Ovis aries: one gene and its partner. Each later gene encodes a partner of the first gene's protein in a complex. Links are inferred from orthologs where the notes say so. Each region holds a gene or a part of one and is shown in the gene's direction. Other genes may lie near its edges.

Region 1 (7,748 bases):
TAGCCTGTGAGGTCTTACAGGAAAATAAGTTTCTGTTTTGTAAGCCACTCAGTTCCTAGTACTTTAATATGGAGGCCCTATTTAACTAATATACCTTCCAACCCCCTACATTCCATAAAATTCTGTAACTATTCTATTTCATCTTCTTCATGGCTTTATTTTTCTATTTGCTTCTACAACGTATATGTATTTTTATTGAGTCTAAATTGATATTTTCTCCAAATTGCTGCACAGCTAAACCATCTTCAAGCATTGTTGTATATTTCCATACAGAGTTATTTTAGCCTCAGAAAAAAAATTTGTCCGTAATACCCTGGGACCGAGGTAGAACCTTCTCAGATCTCTGTGTAGGAAATCATTTTTTTTTTTTTCTTAAGAAACTCTTCTCAAGGGATTAATTTTTGTTTCACAAACATCTCTGAACTGTCCTTAGTAAGCCACAGAAATCGTTTGTGAACCCTCTCCTCATAGACCTCAGAGACCACTTATTCATTTGCAGTATGTCTGCAGGCAGAGTATGACAGGCACAAAGGACAGACTGGTGGAAGTCAGTCAAGGAATGTCAGTGCTCAGATCCTGGATCACCACTATAGGCCAGCAGCAGTGTGAGGATTCCTTAGGCCTTTTCGGAGATATGTGATTTTGAAGGTATTTTCATAATACTAAGATTCTATTTGCCTTTTTCACTGCGTTGACATTTGTACTGACGGTACAAAAACAAGGGTTAATAGTGCTGGTACTTAAGCATGCATCAAGGCAAGGGCTTTAAACTGTTGCAGTCATTTTATTCTTCATCCCTTTGTTACCAACAAGAAACAATGCTTCATGTATTAATAAAAACGTCCTTTATGAAGCAGTGGAAATAGTTAATTTTAAGTCTCTATGCTGAATTATCTTTTTCAATATTCTGTGGGGTGATATGTGAAGTTTGCACAGAGAATTTCTAGCGAATACAGAAGTACATTAGTTGTTTCAAGGAAAACTACGTGTAAGATTATTTGAGTTTCTGGCTGAATTCACTGATTTTTTTCCATGGTACATTTTTTTTGAAAGCATGACTGACAGGCAAATTATGATTATTTAGACTTGGATACTTGGCATATACTTCCTTATTAATTCAAGAAGTGAAACTATCATTTAAAGGAAAATAATTGACATTTGTTGCCAATGCTTAAAATTCAAACTTTTAAGCACAAATTAGAATTTTGCAAAAATTTGTGTCCATCATCTGAGGCTGACAACTTTCCAACACTTCAGATTTTTTCTGATGGAATCTTTGATGACATACACAACATGCTCAAAAGTCTGTTTGTTAAATGAAGCCGCATTCCACATTGCAACTAACTTTTCAAAACTACCACTTGTTGAGTTTGGGCCTCATTTTCTTCATATACTTACAGTAAAAAAAAAAAAAAAACAACAAAAACTACATATACCAATAAATTGTATGCAGAAGTGGATCCGGGACATCCTTGCTTACTCTTCAGGTGGGCAGTCAATAGATTTGCAAACAAAGCCAGTCTTTTTACTTTTATTTTGGAAAAGAATGCTTTTTCATTAAAATATATACATAATGAGTTCATTATCTTTTCAATATTATTTTTAGAAATTTAGTTCTTTTTCATAAGTATCAACAGATAATTCATATAAACAAATGTCTTTAGGGTCCTCAACAGTTTGTAAGAGTTTTGTAAAAGCGTCCTTTACAAAATAGGAAAAGGAGTACGTCAAAGCTGTATATTGTCACCCTAGTTATTTAACTTATATGCAGAGTACATCATGAGAAATGCTGGGCTGGAAGAAACGCAAGCTGGAACCAAGATTGCTGGGGAAAATATCAATAACTTCAGATACGCAGATGACACCATCCTTATGGCAGAAAGCGAAGAAGTACTAAAGAGCCTCTTGATGAAAGTGAAAGAGGAGAGTGAAAAAGTTGGCTTAAAGCTCAACATTCAGAAAACGAAGGTCATGGCATCTGGTCCCATCACTTCATGGCACATAGATGGGGAAACAGTGGCTGACTTTATTTTTCTGTGCTCCAAAATCACTGCAGATGGTGATTGCAGCCATGAAATTAAAAGACGCTTACTCCTTGGAAGGAAAGTTATGACCAACCTAGATAGCATATTAAAAAGCAGAGTCATTACTTTACCAACAAAAGTCTGTCTAGCCAAGGCTATGGTTTTTCCAGTGGTCATGTATGGATGTGAGTGTTGGACTATAAAGAAGCTGAGCACTGAAGAACCAATGCTTTAGAACTGTGGTGTTGGAGAAGACTCTTGAGAGTCCCTTGGACTGCAAGGAGATCCAACCAGTCCATCCTAACGGAGACCAGTCCTGGGTGTTCATTGGAAGGACTGATGCTGAAGCTGAAACTCCAGTACTTTGGCCACCTGATGCGAAGAGCTGACTCATTTGAAAAGACCCTGATGCTGGGCGGGATTGGGGGCAGGAAGAGAAGAGGACGACAGAGGATGAGAGGGCTGGATGGCATCACCCATTCTATGGACATGGATTTGGGTGAACTCAGGGAATTGGTGATGGACAAGGAGGCTTGGCGAGCTGCGGTTCATGGGGTCGCAAAGAGTTGGACAAGACTGAGCGACTGAACTGAACTGAACTGAAGCGGTCCTAGGGCCAAAAGTTGGAGAACTGCTCCTTGTAAACTAACTCCTACGGCGATGAAACATATTTCTTTGAGGGAGCCTTTTCAGTGGCGGTGAAACAGGTCAGAATCTACCCTGGCTTCAAGTCAGTGCTCCACACACAAAGACAAAGACTTGGGACTCAGCGCAGTCGTGGCATCGTAGCTCCTCTGCGTCTTGGTCTCCCTGGAAACCACGCTTCTCAGGGCTCCTGAACCCGGCCCTCCTTTCCTCTCCGCCTCTCATTGGAGCGGGGTCAGTCAGTGGGCGGCCTGTCGGGAGGTGGGCGTGGCTTCATGCCCTACAGAGCCCACTCGCAGGAACGACCTGACGTCACGCAGGACGCCGCTGCCCTGACGCTCCGCCCTTGCATCCCCCACTGAACCCACCACAGTAGCTGGCGTTACCCTCAAAGGAGTCGCGAGCAGTTTCCCCTGAGGCCTGGGATACCACACTCCTTGACCCACCTAGGCCGGCCTGGCGCTGTCCGCCGCGTCCGTGCCGCCGTCATGGATCTGAACCTAAACCGAGCGGATTATTTGCAGGTAAACCTGAGGGGTTGGGGCGGACGCTGCGCGTGGTGAGCCCCGCTCTAAGAGAGGATTCGATCCTTCCACTGCCGTTTGTTGGGGTCTGTGGGAGCCGAGCGGTGAAGGAGTGGGTGTGAGTGGAGCCCTCCAGACGCCTTCCGCACAGGCTTGCCTGCGGGGCGGGTCCGCGGGCACTTGGAAAGGAGGAGAACCGCCCCCCCCACCCCCCGCCTCACCGCCCTGCCCCCGCCCCCGCCCCCGTGTGCCGGCGTCCTGAAGATGCTCTGAGTGTCCTGACGCAATCCGGGATTCCTCCCCAAGGCCCTTCCTTCTCCTCCCTCCTGGCTGCAGCTACCTGTGGGCTTCAAACTCCTGACTCTCCTTCTCTACCCAGTCTCGTGTCCCACGGGCCAGACACTTATTTCTTACTGTGAGCTGGACCTGGCTACCCGGACAGTAATAAAAGCAATGGTAGCCGTTTTCGAGGGTCTGGTTTATTCTCAGAGCTTACCTTTTGTGCATATATTATATTGTTGTTCGTCGTTCAGTCGTGTCAGATTCTTTGGGACCCCATGGACTGCATGCAACATGCCAGGCTTCCCTGCCTTCACTGTCTCCTGGAGCTTGCTCAAACCCATGTCTGTTGAATCGGTGATGCCATCCAACCATCTCATCCTCAGTCATCCCCTTCTCCTGCCCTCAGTTTTTCCCACCATCAGGGTCTTTTCCAGTGAGTCAGCTCTTAGCATCAGGTGGCCAAAGTATTGGAACTTCAGATATATTTTCCTTCACAAAAATTCTAAAAGTCGGTACGTGACGATCAAAGGGAATTTTCATAATAGCCAAACTGATGCAGTTCCTATCTGAAGCAAAGCCTTTTCTGTTATACCACCCTGCCTCTCAGTATTTCAGCCGTAGACTTTCCGTCTTCTCCATCCCCTTTCCCAGTAATCCTCTTTTGGCTAATGGTACAAATGTTTATCCTGCCACTTTACCTGAGACTTACGCCAGATAATTACCACGGTCAGTTCAGTTCAGTTCAGTCACTCAGTAGTGTCCAACTCTTTGTGACCGCATGAATTGTAGCACGCCAGGCCTCCCTGTCCGTCACCAACTCCCAGAGTTCACTTAAACTCACCGTCCATCGAGTCGGTGATGCCATCCAGCCATCTCATCCTTTGTCGTCCCCTTCTCTTCCGTCCCCAATCCCTCCCGGCATCAGGGTCTTTTCCAATGAGTCAACTCTTCACATGAGGTGGCCAAAGTACTGGAGTTTCACCTTCAACATCAGTCCTTCCAATGAACACCCAGGACTGGCCTCCTTTAGGATGGACTGGTTGGATCTCCTTGCAGTCCAAGGGACTCTCAAGAGTCTTCTCCAACACCACAGTCCAAAAGCATCGATTCTTCATCACTCAGCTTTCTTCACAGTCCAATTCTCACATCCATACGTGACCACTGGAAAAACCATAGCCTTGACTAGACGGACCTTTGTTGGCATAGTAATATCTCTGCTTTTAAATACGCTATCTAGGTTGGTCATAACTTTCCTTCCAAGGAGTAAGCATCTTTTAATTTCATGGCTGCAGTCACCATCTGCAGTGATTTTGGAGCCCCCAAAAATAAAGTCAGCCACTATTTCCACTGTTTCCCCATCTATTTCCCATGAAGTCATGGGACCAGTGTCATGATCTTCGTTTTCTGAATGTTGAGCTTGAAGCCAACTTTTTCACTCTCCTCTTTCACTTTCATCAAGAGGTTTTTTAGTTCCTCTTCACTTTCTTCCATAAGGGTGGTGTTATCTGCATATCTGAGGTTATTGATATTTCTCCTGGCAATCTTGATTCCAGCTTGTGCTTCTTCCAGCCCAGTGTTTCTCATGATCCCACCTTAATATCTTCCATATCCATCTGGTCACCACATTTTGCTGTTTCTATCTCGGAAGTATCTGTTGAATCTGTCACATTTTCTCCCTCCATCTCTGTTGTCCCCAGTTCAGTCCTCATCTCTTGGATAATGGAAATAGCCTCCATCCTCCTCTCCCTCCAACCCATACTTTACAACAGTGGCTAGACTGATGTTTCAAAAATACAAATCTAAGTAGATTAGTTTAAACGTTAACACTATTCCATAGAATACAGAATAACAGAATAGATCTGTATGTACAATATGTAAATTCTTTCATGGTCTGTTGTCTCAATTTCTCTCCCTTTGGTCCCATTCTCCTCCCCTAACCATGCCCAACGGCTGACATTTCTCTGCTGAGCAAACCATGCTGTTTTCAACTTCTGTATCCTTTGTAAAATAATCTTCATCATCAGTTAGATTGGATGTCATTGTCATCAGCATGTTGGTGTCTTAGCAAAAATCTTCTCTATTCCATTTTCAATAATAATCTATTTCTAAAGATTTTTCAATACAAACTCTTCTTTAACAGCTGTCTGAAGTTGTAAAAAAAGGCTTCTAGATATAATTTTTTCGTGTGAAGTACCTTGCCAGTAATGTCACATAATTATATTTGACTTGACAACTGTATAGCATGAATTTTACTGTTTTTGATTGTTTCCTATATTCTGACTTTTGTGGCATATTTCATTAGAAAATAAGTTCACTTCTGATAAGAATTATTTTATATCACTAATTGTAATGAAAAAACTAAGGCTTACTATGATTAGAATCTGCTGGTCCTTTTAATATTTGAGGTATAACTTTAAATTAGTGTATTAGAAAACATTAACTATGCAGCTGATGTGTTTCCTTAGGTGGGGGTGACCTCTCAGAAGACTATGAAGCTACTTCCTGCCTCAAAACATAGAGCCACACAAAAGGTAATGTAGAGATACTGATTCCTCCATATCTCTCTAGCTCTTACAGAGGAGAGGTTTATATTCTCTTCTTTATTGACAAGTGTTTTTTAAATTTCAAAGCTAAAGTGGAAATAGATTTCTGTTAATTTGAACAGAGGTTGGAATACCAAGGGACACTTATATACAGTAATTTTCTTGTACATTATAAGTATCATGTACAATCAGTAAATAGTATTAGCAAACTAGTTGAAAACCATGTTCCATTTTTCTGGGAATAATTTTCCCTGAGTGTACTTGTGCATACCAGATTGTATATATGAAAAAAGAAATATAAAACACAATATGCTGTAGAGAAAATACTTTTAAAAAACTTTGTCATATTTTTAAGAGTAATTTTTATTTTAAACTTTATATTTAGCAAACAATATTGATTTTTTATAGAAATATTAATCCTGAAATTTCTGTAAGACAATATAATTTCTTAGTATACTAATGGGATTCTTTAATAGCTGCAAAATAAATACAGTATTACCATATAATACATTTTATCAAGATAAATCAACAGATTTTTGATTATCATTTATTGTATTCAGTCTACTAAAGCAACACTTTTCAAACTTTTTTGGTCTTAGGACTCATTTATAGTATTTTTAAGATCATTTTATTATTTTGTTTATTTTTTATTGAAATATAGTTGGTATACAATATTATGTAAGTCAGAGGTATGCAATATAGTGATTCATAATTTTTAAACATTGTATTCCACTTATAGTTATTATAAAATATTGGCTCTGTTCTCTGTGTTATATAGTATATCCTTGTACCTAATTTTATACATACTGGTTTGTATCTCTTAATCCCTACTCCTGTGTTACCCTCTTCCTTCCCTCTCCCCACTGGTAACCCCTGGCAGTTTGTTTTCTGTATTTGTGACTGTGCTACTTTTTGTTATATTCACTAATTTGTTGTGTTTTCTAGATTCCACATACAAATGATATATGGTTTGTTTTTCTCTGTCTGACTTATTTCACTAAACATCATGCCCTCTAAGTCCATCCATGTTGTTGCAAATGGGAAAATTTCATTCTTTTTCATGACTGAGTAGTATTCTTTATCCATTCATCTATTAATGGACACTTACGTTGTTTCTATATCTTGGCAATTATAAACAGTGCCATGAACATTGGGGTGCATATATCTTTTTGAATTCATGTTTTTGGTTTTTTCAGATATATGCCCAGGAGTGGCATTTCTGGGTCATATAGTAGTTCTATTTTTAGTTTTTTGAGAAACCTCAATATTGTTTTCTATAGTGACTGCACCAATTTATATTCCCACCAACAGAGTACAAGAGTTCCTTTTTTCCACATCTTTGTCAGCATTTGTTATTTATGTTATTTTGGATGATTGCCATTCTGACAAGTGTGAGGTGATATCTCATTGTGGTTTTGATTTATATTTCTCTGATGATTAGTGATGTTAAGTATCTTTTCATGTCCCTGTTGGCTGTTTGCATTTCCTCTTTGGAAAAATGTTTATTCAGGTCTTCTGCCCATTTTTTAATCAGGTTGTGTTTCTAATATTAAGTTGTATGAGCTGTTTATATATTTTGGATATTAAGCCCTTATTGCTCATGTTATTTGCAAATACTTTCTCCCATTTGATCGATTTCGTTTTTTTCTATGGTTCCCTTTGCTGTGCAAAAGTTTTTGTTTAGGTAAATCAACTATATTCAATAAAAATTAAAAAACAAAAAAGCTTTT
Region 2 (7,301 bases), on another chromosome or scaffold:
CCTTAAGCTGAGATTTAAAGGAATGGATTGAGTGAGATTTGAATCTCTACCACAAGGAGCAAAGTCGATTCAAGCAACACAAGCAGAGTATCTCAAATGAAACCCATCCCTTGGGTAAGACAACCATGGCCCTGTGTTTGGTTAGGGCACTGCAACTTCCCTTCTGCGCATCACTTTCCAATTTCAGTTTTGAAATTTCTGTTCATAATGATCCGTGAAGGGGCCTAACCGAAACTGATGATGCAGCCTCCTTTCAGATGTAGTTGTCTTGGAAACTTCTTATTTCAAGTTGCTGCATCCTCACATCCTTCAAGGTATGGTCTTGCCTTTTTGGTATGGAATAAGCAATACTGAAGGAGCTGTAAGATGGCAAGTTTCTAGATAGAGATGAGACTAGTATTTAGAGAACTTTGAAAATGGTGGTTTGGAGAGTAATAGGAAATGTTTAGAATACAGGTATATAGTGGTTACTGCCGTAGCAGTCCCTGTCACAGTTGAGGGCTGCCGAAAGAGGTATGTATCTCTCTTCTCCCACCACAGTTTAATGTTTTGAGGGACTGGGATGGTGGTTTCCCCAAAGGAAGTACCTTTGGGGATTTTCATTTGGAGATTTGAAGTCTAAATCTAACAGTACCTTGGAAGGGTATGAATAGCCATAAAGTTATCACATAGCCAGCCATATGTCATCAGTAATTTTACTTGACATCAAAATACTTACACATTTGCGTTGCTGATGGAGTTTTTTTGAAAGTTTGCATTTGAAGGATTTTTTTTCAAAGAATTAATAAATGAATAGGGACTTCAGGAACAGATTAACAAGGAAATCTTTATAGTATTTGAGAAAAGGAGATTAAAATGTAAGATGGGTATTTACGCTCATATTCTTCACTAGTACACTAGTTAAAATTCTTTTAAAAATACTTAACAGATAATTTCATATAAGTTATAGTTTCAAAGAAACAAAAATGTATTAAGGTTCAGTTTGTGTGTATGTGTTTTATTTTTTTTAATTTTTATTTTTACTTTATTTTACTTTACAATACTCAGTTTGTATGTATATGTTTTATACATAACCTTCCCAAATGGATTTGTGTTGACTTACAAAACTACCAAGATATGTGAGGACAAAGAAAAAGTTAAGATGAAGATAAATCAGGATTTTTTGTTTCTGTCTGAACTGAATATAGTCAGCAAACAAAAATGGTGAATTTAATATTTATTACCTCATATTATTGCAAAATTCAACAATGGGATTAGCTTTAGAAAAAGATTTAACCAGTGAACTCAAATGAGGCAGCCTAAAATTTCAGTTTTTTTGTTATTCTGGTCTGCCTTCTACTTTCTATTTGAGCAGCAGGCTCCATATGAACATCACTACCCATATATTTCCAGATTTCCAGAAAAGGCTGCAGATATTCTCAAGTATCACAAATGGTAGACTCCATAGGATACTAAATAAATCACATTTTGTTCTTAAGTATTATAAGTTACAATAAGAAATGTACAGTTATTTCAAGGGCATTATTCTGTGTTGCTGGGGGTTATTAGCTGCCAATCTGCATTTCAGTTAAGACTCCTTTCTGGTAATCAGCTTAAACTCTGTTTACTAAATGCAAAGCTACATTGACATGGTTTTCACAATATCACTGACTTTAAATTCTAAAAATTTGGGGTACATATGCTTATATTCTCCATATTTAAGATGCCCGTGTTAATTTTTTTTCCCCCTGACTTGCAGTTGATTTGTGAATCCTTGCCTCACATTATGGGATTGCTAGACAGACTTTCAGGCTTGCTTGGCCTCAAAAAGAAAGAAGTTCATGTTTTGTGCCTTGGGCTGGATAATAGTGGCAAAACAACAATCATTAATAAACTTAAACCTACAAATGTAAGTATATTTATTAGATACATTATGTATTTTCTGCTAAAGCTAATGGAGGATTATTTTGTCTGTCATTGTAACATCATTGTCACATTATGAAATCTTATTAAATTTGTGATACCTTTAGTAAAGTAATAAGTATCAGCCAGCCATAACATGAAGTGTATTTTATGCTGATATGTAGGTAAATCTTGACTATTTAAACTGGAATATTCTCCAAATGCCTTTCCTTCTCAAAAGCTCTTCAAAAATTTGTGGAGTTTACGTTCAGGTAGCATTGCCTTCGTTTTGACTTTCTCTTTACAAGAGGAGCAAAACAAAGGGAAAGGTGGATCATTTTTACAGATTCTGTGGATAATTAGCCAGTTTCCCAAGAGTGTTACGTGCGTATCGGTAGTAGCAAGCAAGATGACTTTAAGTCATGTAAGTCATAAGTACATGAATGTATTATTTAAATAAGTGAAATATATATATAAGCTAGCACATTCACCACATAATGTATGAGTTATGTTGTGCTGTGTGCCCAGTCGTGCTGTGTGCCCAGTCTTGTTTAACTCTTTGCAACCCCATGGAGTATAGCCTGACAATCCTCTGTCCATGGAATTTTCCAAGCAAGAATACTGGAGTTGGTTGCCATTTCCTACTCCAGGGGATCTTCCCCACCCAGGGATCAAACATCTTGTACCTCCTGCATTGGAAGGCTGATTCTTTACTACTGTGCCATCTGGGAAGTATAAGCTACAATTAGGTTCTGCTTTATATAAAGAAAACCCGCATAATGGTGGACTGAAGATGGAGGGTTCTTTTTCTGTCATCTCAGTGAGTCCAGAAGAAATATTCCAGGGCTGGTGTGGCAGCTGCATGGTCCAGGCACCTTCCATCTTTCCTCTCTGCTATCCTTAGTGCCTGATTTTCTTCAGGGTCTTCGGAATCTCCACATGGCCATCTTAGTTAACTATCCTCAGTTCAGTTCAGTTGCTCAGTTGTGTCTGACTCTCTGCGACCCCATGTACTGCAGGATGCCAGGCCTCCCTGTCCATCACCAACTCCTGGAGCCTACCCAAACTTATGTCCATTGAGTTGGTGATGCCATCCAACCATTTCATCCTCTGTCGTCCCCTTTTCCTCCTGCCTTCAATCTTTCCCAGCATCAGGGTCTTTTCCAGTGAGTCAGTTCTTTGCATCAGGTGGCCAAGTATTGGAGTTTCAGCTTTAGCATCAGTCCTTCCAAGGAACACTCAGGACTGATCTCCTTTAGGATGGACTGGTTGGATCTCCTTATAGTCCAAGGGACTCTTGAGAGTCTTTTCCAACACCACAGTTCAAAAGCATCAATTCTTCAGCACTCAGCTTTCTTCACAGTCCAACTCTCACATCCATACGTGACTACTGGAAAAACCATAGCCTTGACTAGACAGACCTTTGTTGGCAAAATAATGTCTCTGCTTTTTAATATGCCGTCTATATCTTAAGTTGCAGGGATGGGAAAAGAACAAGCAAAAGAATAAGTCTTCCTGCCAAATAAGTCCTCTTTAAGGAACTTACTCAGAAGCCTCAACTACCTATTCTTTCACCTCACTGGCTACCCTATCTGTAAATGAGGCTGGATTTTTTTTTTTTTTTAAAGCAGGACATATTGCTGCTTCCATTAGTAATAGGGGTCCTGTAAGTACGAAAGAGGGGCTTCCCTGGTGGCTCAGTGGTAAAGATCCCACCTGCCAGTGCAGGAGAAGTGAATTTGATCCCTGGGTTGTAAAGGTTCTATGGAGAAGGAAATGGCAACCCACTCCAGTATTTTTGCCTGGGAAATCCCATGGACAGAGGAGCCTGGCAGACTACAGTTCATAGGGTTGCAAAGAGTTGGACTTGACTTAGTGACTAAACAACAACAAAGTATGAAAGAATAGGAGAGTAGATAGAGGTAAACAGTTAACATTGACAGTTGTAAATACTTTTATCTAGATAAAAACCATTAGTCAATCAATGGAAAATGTTGATGAAAAAATATATAGCCTGCATATAAATTGAGCTGCTGCTGCTGCTAAGTCACTTCAGTCATGTCCAACTCTGTGTGACCCCATAAACAGCAGCCCACCATAAATCGAGCAGATGTTTCAAAATTAGGAAACTAGTGCTCTTAATGACTGACAGGCTGGATAGTAGGAAGCATTTCTCCTAAATATGGTAATTGAAAGTGGACTTAATTGCCTCCAAATAGTGCTTCAGGTTGGGCAGAATAAGAACTCCTACTGTCCCCCACCACCTTTTCCCCAACAGCTTCATTTTTACTTCTGTTTAGTTTGAGATTGCTCTCAAATTACAAAAATGCCATCATTTCTTTTCTTGTGGTCATCATTCCCTTCTTCCACGTGAGAGAGTTTGCCATGTGAAACAACTAACTACTGGTGTATTTTCAAATGGCAGTTAGTTTGAGGCAGCTGGGATAAGAAGTTGAAAATGGAGTTAGAAGGTAATTTAGGTGTTTTAAGGGGCTCTCCAGTCAAGTTGGAAATCAGCTGAAATAGATGCGCTAAAATCAGAGATTAAAAAAAAATTCCAGTTTTATTGAAATACTAATTTTGGAGGGCAAGGTTTAGTTCTGGCCAGAGGACTTGCTAACACTGTCTTGAGTTATGATTCATGTCCTAGAATTCAAGCTTTCCTCCTTAGGGAAATACCCTGCTTGTCTAGGTTTGCTGCTACTGCTACTGTCGTGTCCGACTCTGTGCGACCCCATAGACGGCAGCCCACCACGCTCCCCCATCCCTGAGATTCTCCAGGCAAGAACACTGGAGTGGGTTGCCATTTCCTTCTCCAATGCATGAAAGTGAAAAGTGAAAGTGAAGTCTCTCAGTCGTGTCCGACTCTTAGCAACCCCATGGACTGCAGCCCACCAGGCTCCTCCGGCCATGGGATTTTCCAGGCAAGAGTACTGGAGTGGGGTGCCATTGTGTTCTCCCCTACCCACTTGAATGGAGTCCAGATTGAATTTAGAGAACCATACCCAGCTGTGGTTGGGTCCATAATTAGTTCCACGGATGGTTTGGCTGTCAGTGGATCAACCTGGGCTAATATTAAGAAACTTAGCGGCTGGTGATGTGCAGCACTTCTGCAGGTAAGCCTAGTAGCATAGGGAGCAAGATTATAAGGAAGTTCTTCAGGTAAGGTCCTATTCTATAAGAGAGATTTCCATTTTTTTCTACATCCAGGAATATCTTCAAAAGAAATTTTTTTGTAAAAGTTGTGTCAAATAAATACAAAATTATGGAAACCAGAGCCACAGTTAATAGTACCAAAGTGTGTCAGCCCCCTGGTGCCTACTGTACTCAGATTGGCAGAAATGACATTCAAAGAACAAAATGGAAATTATGTTATCTCTTTCCATCATCCCCAACAGTATAGTGATCTTCTGTCCCAAGACATGGTTATTACTGTAGGAATAATCTTTGATATGGATGGGAACAGCTTTCTTCTCTAAACATTATTGATCATTTGGGGCAGCAGGGGAAGGAGGCATCTTGAGCTCAGTCTACCATCTTAAAATATCTAATATCCCAATTTCAGACTAGTCCTGTGCAAGACCTGCTGACCCTGCCTAACACATTATACTAGTCAGGGAGAGCCCTCAGGAACATCTGGGCATGCAGCCAATTACTGAGGCTTTTTAATTAATCTTTTGTTTTCCAGCATATGCATCTCTCTGCTACCACTGGTGAATTATGGAACTAGCCTAGACTAACTCCAGGGCTATTTTTAAGGGGATCATCTAATTTCTGACACCACTTTCTGAGCGTTAATCTTTAGGCAACTATCCTGTCTCCTCAGAGCAATTGACCTCTACCTTCTGAGAGCAGAGTAAGTTGTTTTACTTAAAAACAACAACAACAACAACTTCATGATTATAGCCAAGAGGACACTTGAAATGGGACTTCTTAAAAGCCCTAAAACCTGTCACCCAGGCACAGATAAAACACTTGCTTCCTCCGTACCTTTGAACCCAAGAACAGTCTCTTGTGAGCTTATATCCACTATGAGAAATATTATTTTTAATGAATTGAGGTGAGTAATAGAAATCAAAAAGCAGAGACATTACTTTGCCAACAAAGGTCTGTCTAGTCAAGGCTATGGTTTTTCCAGTAGTCACGTATGGATGTGAGAGTTGGACTATAAAGAAAGTATAGCGCCAAAGAAGTGATGCTTTTGAACTGTGGTGTTGAAGAAGACTCTTGAGAATCCCTTGGACTGCAAGGAGATCCAACTAGTCCATCCTAAAGGAGATCAGTCCTGAGTGTTCATTGGAAGGACTGATGCTGAAGCTGAAATTCCAATACTTTGGCCCCATCATGCAAAGAACTGACTCATTGGAAAAGACCATGATGCTGGGAAAGATCGAAGGCAGGAGGAAAAGGGGACGACAGAGGATGAGATGGTTGGATGGCATCACCGACTCAATGGACATGAGTTTGGGTAAACTCTGGGAGTTGGTGATGGACAGGGAGACCTGGTGTGCTGCAGTCCATGGGGTCGCAAAGAGTCAGGCGCCAGTGAGCGACTAAACTGAACTGAATAGAAATATATGATCCTCTATTAGGAAATGTCTTGAAAGAAATTACAAGTCTCATTTTATAGTAAAATAGTCTCTTATATGTTTTTGCAGAGGGATAAAGTCAGTTTCTAGATAACTAGATACTTCCTGCATCCAAACTGGTTTTTAACATTAAGCTCTCTTAATGTTCATTTGTTGTTAATATGTTAAAGTTGCTGATCTTTTCTAAACTGATAAGGAGAGAAAAGAGGTAATTTTAACCTGATAACTTTTCAAGAATCTAGTCTTAGTGTCATGCTAAGAGATGTGCTCTATTAACACCTTTCTTCTAAAATTCTAACTTTTGCCCCATTCCCTAACATAAACGCTCTCATTCTATCTTGTCATCCAGTTTTATATTCTTAACATTTAAAACAATCTGAAATTGCTTCATATATTCAGTTGATCAGTTATTACATTTTCTTCATCATAAAATTAAATTCATAAGAGCATAGATCTTACATTGTTCAATAATGTTGTTTTAGTCACTAAGGCAAGTCTGACTCTTAGCAGCCCTATGGACTGTAGACTGCCAGGCTTCTCTCCGTGGGATTTCCCAAATACCTAGAATATTTCTTGATAGTTAAATGTAATTTTGTACAAATGGACTGATGGGTGATTTTTTAATTTTCATTTTTGGGCAGGGAATGATTATTAATCATACCAAGGATATCATTTTCAACAGATTTAGTAAAACTTACCAAATAGGGCCTCTCTTGAAAACCTTGTTCTAGTCTTACTGATACTGGTCTATTACTGGGTTGTCTCAGATGGCCTAATCCACTTAGGTATTAATTCCTGCACTCTTCCCTTGGTTTGTAAACATCCCCTGTC

Evidence for each region.
Region 2: the proteins of BBS7 (region 1) and ARL6 are in contact, whole or in part, in a cryo-EM structure (PDB 6VBV), measured with the Bos taurus proteins. The link is inferred for Ovis aries from reciprocal best matches to the Homo sapiens genes BBS7 and ARL6. Residues at the interface, in NP_001178275.2 of Bos taurus: Leu3, Ile249, Val250, Gly251, Asp300, Gly301, Tyr302, Asp303, Thr319, Glu320, Pro321, His323, Lys324, Glu325, Ser326, Gly327, Pro328; in NP_001069250.1 of Bos taurus: Met132, Asp133, Arg135, Thr139, Ser140, Val141, Ser144, Trp157, His158, Ile159, Cys160, Ala161, Asp163, Lys166.

The regions. Positions count from the first base shown.
Region 1 is NC_056059.1:3,709,498-3,717,245, forward strand, and holds the start of BBS7 (Bardet-Biedl syndrome 7 protein), read left to right. Parts: upstream 1-3,026; 5' UTR 3,027-3,157; coding exon 3,158-3,193; intron 3,194-5,940; coding exon 5,941-6,006; intron 6,007-7,748.
Region 2 is NC_056054.1:162,973,810-162,981,110, forward strand, and holds part of ARL6 (ADP-ribosylation factor-like protein 6), read left to right. Parts: intron 1-1,738; 5' UTR 1,739-1,765; coding exon 1,766-1,888; intron 1,889-7,301. UniProt on the Homo sapiens protein: Involved in membrane protein trafficking at the base of the ciliary organelle. Mediates recruitment onto plasma membrane of the BBSome complex which would constitute a coat complex required for sorting of specific membrane proteins to the primary cilia.